2 linked regions of the Macaca fascicularis genome follow. The protein of the gene in region 2 interacts with the protein of the main gene of each other region in a pairwise test. Links are inferred from orthologs where the notes say so. Each region holds a gene or a part of one and is shown on either strand. Other genes may lie near its edges. The genes, in order: SLIT1 and HOXA1.

Region 1 (3,808 bases), on a different chromosome or scaffold from region 2:
GCTGGCCTTGGACTCCTGACCTCAGGTGATCCACCCATCTCGGCCTCCCAAAGTGCTGGGATTACAGGTGTGAGCCACCATGCCTGGCCCAGTATTGCCATTTTAACAATATTAAGCATACTGATCCATGAACATGAATGCCTTTCCATTTATTTAGATCTTCTTTAATTTCTTTCAACATTTTATAGTTTTCAAAGTATATGTTTTGCACTTAAAAAATTTATTCTTAAGTATTTTATTGTTTGATGTATTATAAAGGAATTGTTTTCTTAATTTCATTTTTTGTTTGATTTTTGTGCATTAATCTGGTATTCTACAATCTTGCTGAATTATTTCATTAATTCTAATAGCATTTTAATGGACTCTGTAGGATTTTCTTATACAAGATCATGTCATCTGGATGCATTTTATTTCTCCTTCCTTCCCTCCTTCCCTTGCTTGCCTTCCTTCCTTCCTGCCTGCCTGCCTTCCTTCCTGCCTTCCTGCCTTCCCTCTCTCCCTCCCTTCCCCCCTCCCTCCCTCTCCCTCCCTTCTTCCTTCATTCCTTTCTTTTCCTTTCCCTTTTTCCTAAGTGCCACGGCTAGAACCTCCAGTAAAATATTGAATAGAAATTGTGATAGCAAATATTCTTGTGTTGTTCCTAATCTTAGGAGAAAAAAATTCAGTCATTATTAAGTTTGATGTCAGTTGTGTGTTTTTTGTAGATGCCCTTTATCAGGTTGATGCAGTTTACTTCTATTCCTAGTCTGTGGAGTGTTTTTGTCATGAAGGAATGTTGAAGTTTGTCAAATGCATTTTCTGCATCTATTGAGATGAACTTTTTTTTTTTTTTTTTTGCTTTTTCATCTATCAATGTCATATATTCCATTAATTGAATTTCAGAGGTCAAACCAGCCTTGCATTTCTGGCATAAATCTCACTTGGTCATTGTATACAATCCTTTTTATGCTGTACTTGATTTGCTAGTAATTTGTTGAGGATTTTGGTGACAATATTTATAATAGATATTGGTCTGTAGTTTTTTGTGATATCTTTTGTTGTGATGTCTTTGTTTTTGGTATCAGGGTAATGCTGGTCTCATAGAATGAGTTAGAAAATGTTCCTTCATTTTTTATTTTTTGGACAAGTTTGTGAAGAATTGGTATTTATTGTTTTTAAATGGTTGGTAGAATTCACCAGTTAAACTATCTGGGCCTGGGAATTTTCTGATTACTAATTCAATTTCTTTACTAGTTATAGGTCTATTCATATTTTCTATTTTTTTCTTGGTTCAGTTTTGGTAGTTTGCATATTTCTAGGAATTTGCGCGTTTCATCTATGTTATCTAGTTTGTTGGTATATCATTGTTCATAGTATTCCTTTATAATTCATTGTATTTCTATTAGGTTGGTAGTAATGTCCCTTCTTTTATTTCTTATTTTAGTAACTTGACTCTTCCCTCTTTATGCTTGTGTCTTAAATCTCAGTTTTCTTTTCTGTAAAATGTATATAGTAAAATCTGGCTTGCAGAGTTATTGACGTTGTCAGTAATCACCTTGGATCTTGTTAAAAAGCAGATTCAGTGGGTTTCCCATTTCTATCAAGTGTCCAGGTAATGTTGATGCTGCTGGACCAGGGACCATACTTGTATCCTGATATCCTTCTGGCTCTTAGCTCTCTCATGAAAAGTGTTTATTAGGAGCATCTTCTGTCACTTTAAGAATCCATTTTCTCAAGATGTTTAGTGTATTTCTCTCCAGGGCTATGGGAGAGGAAGATACCCCCTTCCTCCTCGGCCCTCTCTGACTTGTGTCCTTTCCTCTCAGTGGACAGCTCTGTGAGATCCCTCCCCATCTGCCTACCCCCAAGAGCCCCTGTGAGGGGACTGAGTGCCAGAATGGGGCCAACTGTGTGGACCAGGGCAACAGGCCCGTGTGCCAGTGCCTCCCAGGCTTCGGTGGCCCTGAGTGTGAGAAGTTGCTCAGTGTCAACTTTGTGGATCGGGACACTTACCTGCAGTTCACTGACCTGCAAAACTGGCCACGGGCCAACATCACATTGCAGGTGCGTGCCAGGGGGCTTGGTCACAGAGGGGAGTCAGGGAGCAGGGGACCCTGGCTTAGGCCAGAGCATCAAGATGCATCCCTGCATGGTGCCTGGGGAACTGGAAGGACTCTGTGTAATCAAAACTTTTTGCATATGGGTATCAAAATCTCGGCTTGAACTGATTTAAGCACAATTAGAAAGGTTATAGTGTCACAAAACCAGGGCAGGGGTGGATGTGGTCTCATGGGTAACTGAATCCAGAAAACCAGACTTGCCATCATCCCCTCCCACCATTTCTTGTCCCATTTCTTGAGGAGGCTGCTCCTCAGTGTCTGCCTCCAATGCTGCAGACGGGCTTTCTATGTGTGGCTGGAACGTGGCCAGAATTAACTTTGGGCTTATACCTTTAACCGTATGTCCCTAGGGTCCCTTAAATTGTCCTTTTCATGCCTTCAGTTCCATCTCAGAACATCTTCCTATTGAGGGGAAAATAAAGCAAGTCCCACTTCAACAGCATTGATGAAATATATCAATATTTTGCTAAATATTTTTGGGGGATGGAGAGGAGAGTGGCTTATATTGCACAGCACATGATAAAGAACGTTAAACTCTCCTTTAGTCATCTTTCTCTTTCCCTCGAATTCCATTCCCTGTCACAAATGCCACATCTTTCTTCCCTCTCTTTTGTCCTCTTTTCCTTTTTTCTCAGAACTCTTCAGCCTCTCAAACATGTGCATTCTGCTCTCTTCCCCTACGTCACATCTCCAACATCCTATCCACTTACATAGTCTGCATGGCAAGACAACAGCTAGCCTAACCGCCAAAAATAAAATTCACCAAAACCCTAACCAGCCATTGCCTCGGGCACGTCCTTGGTTTATCCTCATCTTTTTTTACCGGACAGTGATTTACAAAGGCTCTTCCTTGCCAGCTCTAATTTGGTCAGCTCAAGGAAGATCTCTGATTGGCCTGGCGTTAGTCACATGCCCATCTCTGAACCAGCCGCTGAGTCCAAGGAGATGGGACAGTATGACTAGACAGCCTGGGTCATGTGCCCAGCTCCACAGACCAGGGGGCTCAGGGTCTTTACCAGAAGAAATGGAGGGAGGAGGACAAGAGAGGGAAAAATGATCATGGCTCCTACAGCATCTTAGAGGGATCTCCCTCCTGAGGCAAAGATCTCATTTTGCTTGCACGGTTCCAGCGACAGACACTACCTTCTGAGTGGCTCCTTCCACTAGGCTTGGATGACTCTGGCTGTCAGAGAGCCTTCCTGAACTTGTCCTCTCTGTAGTTCCCCCACTCAGCAGCTAGCTCCCCAAGGCCCACAGAACAGGGCTACCCACACCCTCCAGACAGGGGTCCCAGTCTAATTTTCCTCTCTGGGAAGATTGTCCTGAGGTCTCCTGGCTGCTTTTCCTGGCACAGAGTTTCCAGGCCTCAGTGGCCCGTCACCCTTCCCTGCCCAGACCTGGCCAGGCTGGCAGTGGATGGGGCTTGAACCAGAGGCTGCAGCCCCTGTTGGCGCCCCCTGGAGGAATGGCCTTGGGGAGGCTGGCCAGGTGGGGGAAGAGAGCTCTGCACAGAGCATCTCTCTTCCAATCTTGGGTGCCCTCTCTGCCCCACCTGCTAGCCTGTGCTGCTGCTGCATGGGGTGGGGTGGGAGAGAAAGTGCCACTGCCCATCAGGTCTCCACGGCAGAGGACAATGGGATCCTTCTGTACAACGGGGACAACGACCACATTGCAGTTGAGCTGTACCAGGGCCATGTGCGTGTCAGCTA
Region 2 (4,340 bases):
AATTGTGTAAACACACAGTGTATCTCTTCTTCGTGAGCTCCTGGACTCTCCTTTCACTATATCCTACTTTCAAGGACAAGGGAGGAGAGAGCTGTACATATAGTTAGATAAAAGATGAGAAGATTCCTTCTGGCATGTTTCTGTTGGTAAAGGGAACTATTTTCCAAAAAGTCATCTGAAAGGAACAGTAGGTTCTGTGAATTCTCCTAAAATCAGGAGGGATGTTAAGGCCCACCAGAAAATGTGTGCTGGCACCCAATCTGGATTAAGGTGTTAACCCGGCACCAAGTCTCTGGTCCAGAATTATCTGCAAACATATTATCCTGGCCAGGAGCTCCCCAGATAGGATCAGAAAGGAAGAGACTGTAAATGGAAAGAAAGATAAGCTAAGCATGTGCTTTGGGTAAGAAGTCCCAGCCCAAGGAGATGCCTGGGCTGTGGTCTGGGACTGGAGCCGCCTTAGTGTGAGGTAGTCAGAGTGTCTGAGGTAGAAGACCCCGGGGAAGGAACGCAGGGCGAAGAGCTGGACTTCTCTGAGGATTCCTCAGCCTTCTCGTCGTTTCCTGGCGGGGTGGCTGGAGAGATGGGCAAGAGACCCTCCTTCTCACGTTTCTTTTGCTTCATTCGGCGGTTCTGGAACCAGATCTTCACTTGGGTCTCGTTAAGCTGCAGGGATGCAGCGATCTCCACCCTGCGGGCACGCGTCAGGTACTTGTTGAAGTGGAACTCCTTCTCCAGCTCCGTGAGCTGCTTGGTAGTGAAGTTGGTGCGCACCGCGTTGGGTTGACCCAGGTAGCCATACTCTCCAACTTTCCCTGGGGCAAAGTGGGAAGCCATGAGATGGAAAGGTAAAAATTTTTAAACCGACTTGAGATTACCTACACACTTCATGGCAACACTCAGGTAAAGAAAAGATCAAGAACTCAACACAAATCGGGCTGTGGAGGGTGAGTGATGAGGTGTAAAGTGTTAACCTGAAGTCAACCATTAGCGTGGTCAGATCGGTGATTAATGGAGCCTTAAGATATTAACAGAACACTACCGTCACAATAACCACCCCCACACACTTCCTACTTCCCAAATGTATAAAATCCTTGAGAACACGCCAATCCCTGAGGCTTCTTTGCCCCAACACCTCTGGGTACCCTCTCCATGCACTACAACACTAGTCTTAAAGCCTTTAAAAAAAAAGATAATTATTAATTTTCCTTGGAAATTAAGCATACCAGCTCCTTCCAGATTAATCAAGGAGCATCCACCAACCAGCAGGACTGACCTGTTTTGGGAGGGTTTCTTTTGACTTTCATCCAGTCAAAAGTCTGCGCTGGAGAAGATGTCTCCGATGCAGGGGAGCGACAGGCTTCTTGGTGGCTGGCGTGGAGAGGGGACAAGGAGTTATTATACGTAGCCAGGGCCAGGCTCTGGTGCTCTTGTCCATATGAGTGGTGAATGTACTGAGGCGAGCCCACCGCGCCCCCGGCATAACGCTGGTGGTGGTGGTGATGCTGTACCATGGGAGATGAGAGATTTCCAGAGTAAACAGCGGGAGCGCACTGGGGGTACCCACCACTTACGTCTGCTTCCTGGTTTAACGCGTAGGGGCTGTAAGGCGCACTGAAGTTCTGTGAGCCATAGCTTGGACCACAACTCGAGTGGGAGTAGGACACCCCCAGGTTCCCGGAAGTCTGGTAGGTAGCCGGCGGGGGGTGGTGATGGTGGTGGTGGTGGTGGTGGTGAGGCGAACCGATCTGCACCCCCCTGCCCACTAGGAAGCGGTCGTCGCCGCCGCAGCTGTTGGTACTGACCGCGCACGACTGGAAAGTTGTAATCCCATGGTCCGAGGGGTAGGCTTGGGCTGAGCAGGTCCCCGAGTCGCCACTGCTAAGGATGGGGTATTCCAGGAAGGAGTTCATTCTTGCATTGTCCATCTGTCACTGAGTGACCTGGTCCTGCGAAGCCCTGGGTGACCGTGCCAACTTTCTCACTTCCTCCATGGGGCCTGAGAAGAAAAATGATATGAATGTACAGTGCGCAAGAGGGGGGGGGCGGGAGGGCGGAGGACGCTAGGGGAGGGGCACGTGACGGTGTCAGCCAATGGCTGAGCCTCCTGCAAAAGTTTGCCGGCTTCCGCGGTGATGGATCACCGTTTCAGTGGCATTTAAATCCCCGGCGCTCCGCCGTCTAGGTGACGTGCAGTCGCCCCCCCAGGCAGCCCAGGCGGCGGCAGCTGCTGCGGCGACTGCAACGGCCGATTTGGAGTGCTGGAGCGAAGAAGAGCAAAGGCTGCCTTCTGCGCGCGCCCGACTCCGCTGCCCGCCCCGCCAGGCCTCCGGGAGGTGGGGGCTGAGAGGCGTCCCCCGCTCCCGCCCCCTCCCCACTGTGCACTGAAAGATGAACTGGCGAGAGGTGAGAAGGGAAGAGGGCTCCCGGCTCTCTCGGGGCGCGAGTTAGTGGGCCGGAGTTCGCCGGGTGGCCGCAGGTTCGCGGGCCCAGCCCGGAGCGCACCCAACCGGAAGGCGGGGAATCCGGCTGACACCGAGCCCCGGGTTCCCAGGCCGCCTTCTCTGCTCTGAGGCTGGGCTGGGAGACCATGGGGCTGTGAGGAGCGCACAGAACCGTGGCAGGGGGCGAGGCTGGGCCACCGGCTCTCCAAGCGCGGAATGGAGAGGGAAGAGCGCAGAGGGCTGGCTGGGAGGAACTCGGGTGGGGGTGAAGGAGACGAGGGCAAGAAAAGAAACTTCCCTTCTTCCAGGAGAGTCTCCGAAACCCTCTCCCCACAGCCCCCGCTCTTCATTAGCATGGCAATGAGGAGTTTCTGTAATTCGACCGGGGAAGGGGGGGTGCGGAAGAGCCCTGGAAACAGGGATTGCCGGAAAAGGCCGGGGGCGACCGGGCTCTTCTTCCCCACCCTCCCTCTCTCCTCGCTCTCCGCCGTTTCTTTCCCACTCAGTTTTGCAGCGGGAGCCCTCCGGGATGCGGAGCTACTCGACCGCCGGATTTTTAGGGGTAGGAGGCGGGGGAGAGAGATGACGCTGGCGGACGTGGCCAGCGTGGGGGCCGGGCCGTGCGCTGCAGGCCATCTGCCGGCGCCCGAGACCCAGGAGCCTCCGCTCCCGCGTGGGCCTCGCAGGGCCGGTCCACAGCTCCAACAAAGTAGCTGAACTCCCTTCGTTGCGTTCCTCTTTTTCTGGAGGGGAATGTTAGAAGAGAGAGAGAGCTTCCTTTTGTAACCTTCCTCATTCTGCTGCGCGTCTAGAGTGGGTGCGGGGACTGGCAGGTGGGAGGAGCGGTGGACAGATGGCTGATGGTGGACAGAACACTTTACCCCAACGACACCTCCTCCCCTTTCCAACTGGCTGGGTAGTTGCTTATGAGAACCTTCAAGTCTTTCCTTAGAGGGACACGTGAAAATCTGAGCGTCATCCCAGGCCAAGGGTCCTGTTCCCCATCACCCTCCTTCTACCCTGACGCTGCTGAGGTCGTTAATTGTTGTTTACTATTAGGTTTCACGTCAACCCTGGGCTTGTAGAGAGGAAAAAGCCAAACGGAGACCAATAATTGATGCAGTCTTGGGTAGGAGAAATCGAGAGCTCGTCCAGGAAGCTTTGCAGCCAATGCTGTATAAATTTTACTCCAACCATGTGTACAATGTTGGAATCAGATGGAATTTATAGTGAGGAATGTATGTGGGTTTGGGGTTTCCACTCCCCTTCAGCCTTTCCTCCCCTGTTAGAACAAGGAAGGTTTTTTTTTCAAGGCAGGCACATTTCAAATATGTTAGTCACCCTTTCAGTCTTCTGTATTCTGTTCTCCACCTACTGAAGCTCCCCCAAACCTGTCCCCTCAAGAGGGAAAACCCATGCTGACTCTGGACTCCCTCAGTAACAATGAAACATTCTCCCCAAACATTTCCTTTCAGGTTGGTATTTCTCTGTGACTTTGATCCATTCCAAGCATGGTTAAGAGGGAGCAGGGGCAGGAAAGAGCCGCTTCCTGGGGTTGGGCAGCCACCCCTGCCCCAGTTTCGGCTCCTGGGAATCATCCTTCTGGAGAAGGGGAAAGGCAAGGCGGTCCTCCTGGAGGTGGCTTCCTTGGGAGCGCCAGCTTCCAGCGGCAGGGAGAGAAAGAGCTCCTGTGGGGGAGTGGGCAGGATGTGAGGAGGTCGGTGCTGGCTATGAGAGCAATCCTTCCTCCAAGCCTGAGCAAGTCAGTACATTTTCCCCCGCTGCCTCATTCCTGTACCTTGGTTGCCCTCCTCAGCCTGGGTTTGCAGGACCCCCTCGGCTGCAGGGCGCCTGCCACAAAGCCGACCCCGGCAGGAGCCACTCTCCCTTTGCTAG

The links.
Region 1: the proteins of HOXA1 (region 2) and SLIT1 interact in binary tests that used the Homo sapiens proteins (3 or more experiments, as listed by UniProt). The link is inferred for Macaca fascicularis from reciprocal best matches to the Homo sapiens genes HOXA1 and SLIT1.

What each region holds. Positions count from the first base shown.
Region 1 is NC_088383.1:105,945,367-105,949,174, reverse strand, and holds part of SLIT1 (slit homolog 1 protein), read left to right. Parts: intron 1-1,805; coding exon 1,806-2,043; intron 2,044-2,734; coding exon of another isoform or gene 2,735-2,842; exon of another isoform or gene 2,843-2,873; intron 2,874-3,713; coding exon 3,714-3,808. UniProt on the Homo sapiens protein: Thought to act as molecular guidance cue in cellular migration, and function appears to be mediated by interaction with roundabout homolog receptors.
Region 2 is NC_088377.1:103,176,157-103,180,496, reverse strand, and holds the start of HOXA1 (homeobox protein Hox-A1), read right to left. Parts: upstream 2,976-4,340; 5' UTR 2,145-2,975; intron 2,023-2,144; exon of another isoform or gene 2,000-2,022; 5' UTR 1,929-1,999; coding exon 1,277-1,928; intron 816-1,276; coding exon 460-815; 3' UTR 1-459. UniProt on the Homo sapiens protein: Sequence-specific transcription factor. Regulates multiple developmental processes including brainstem, inner and outer ear, abducens nerve and cardiovascular development and morphogenesis as well as cognition and behavior.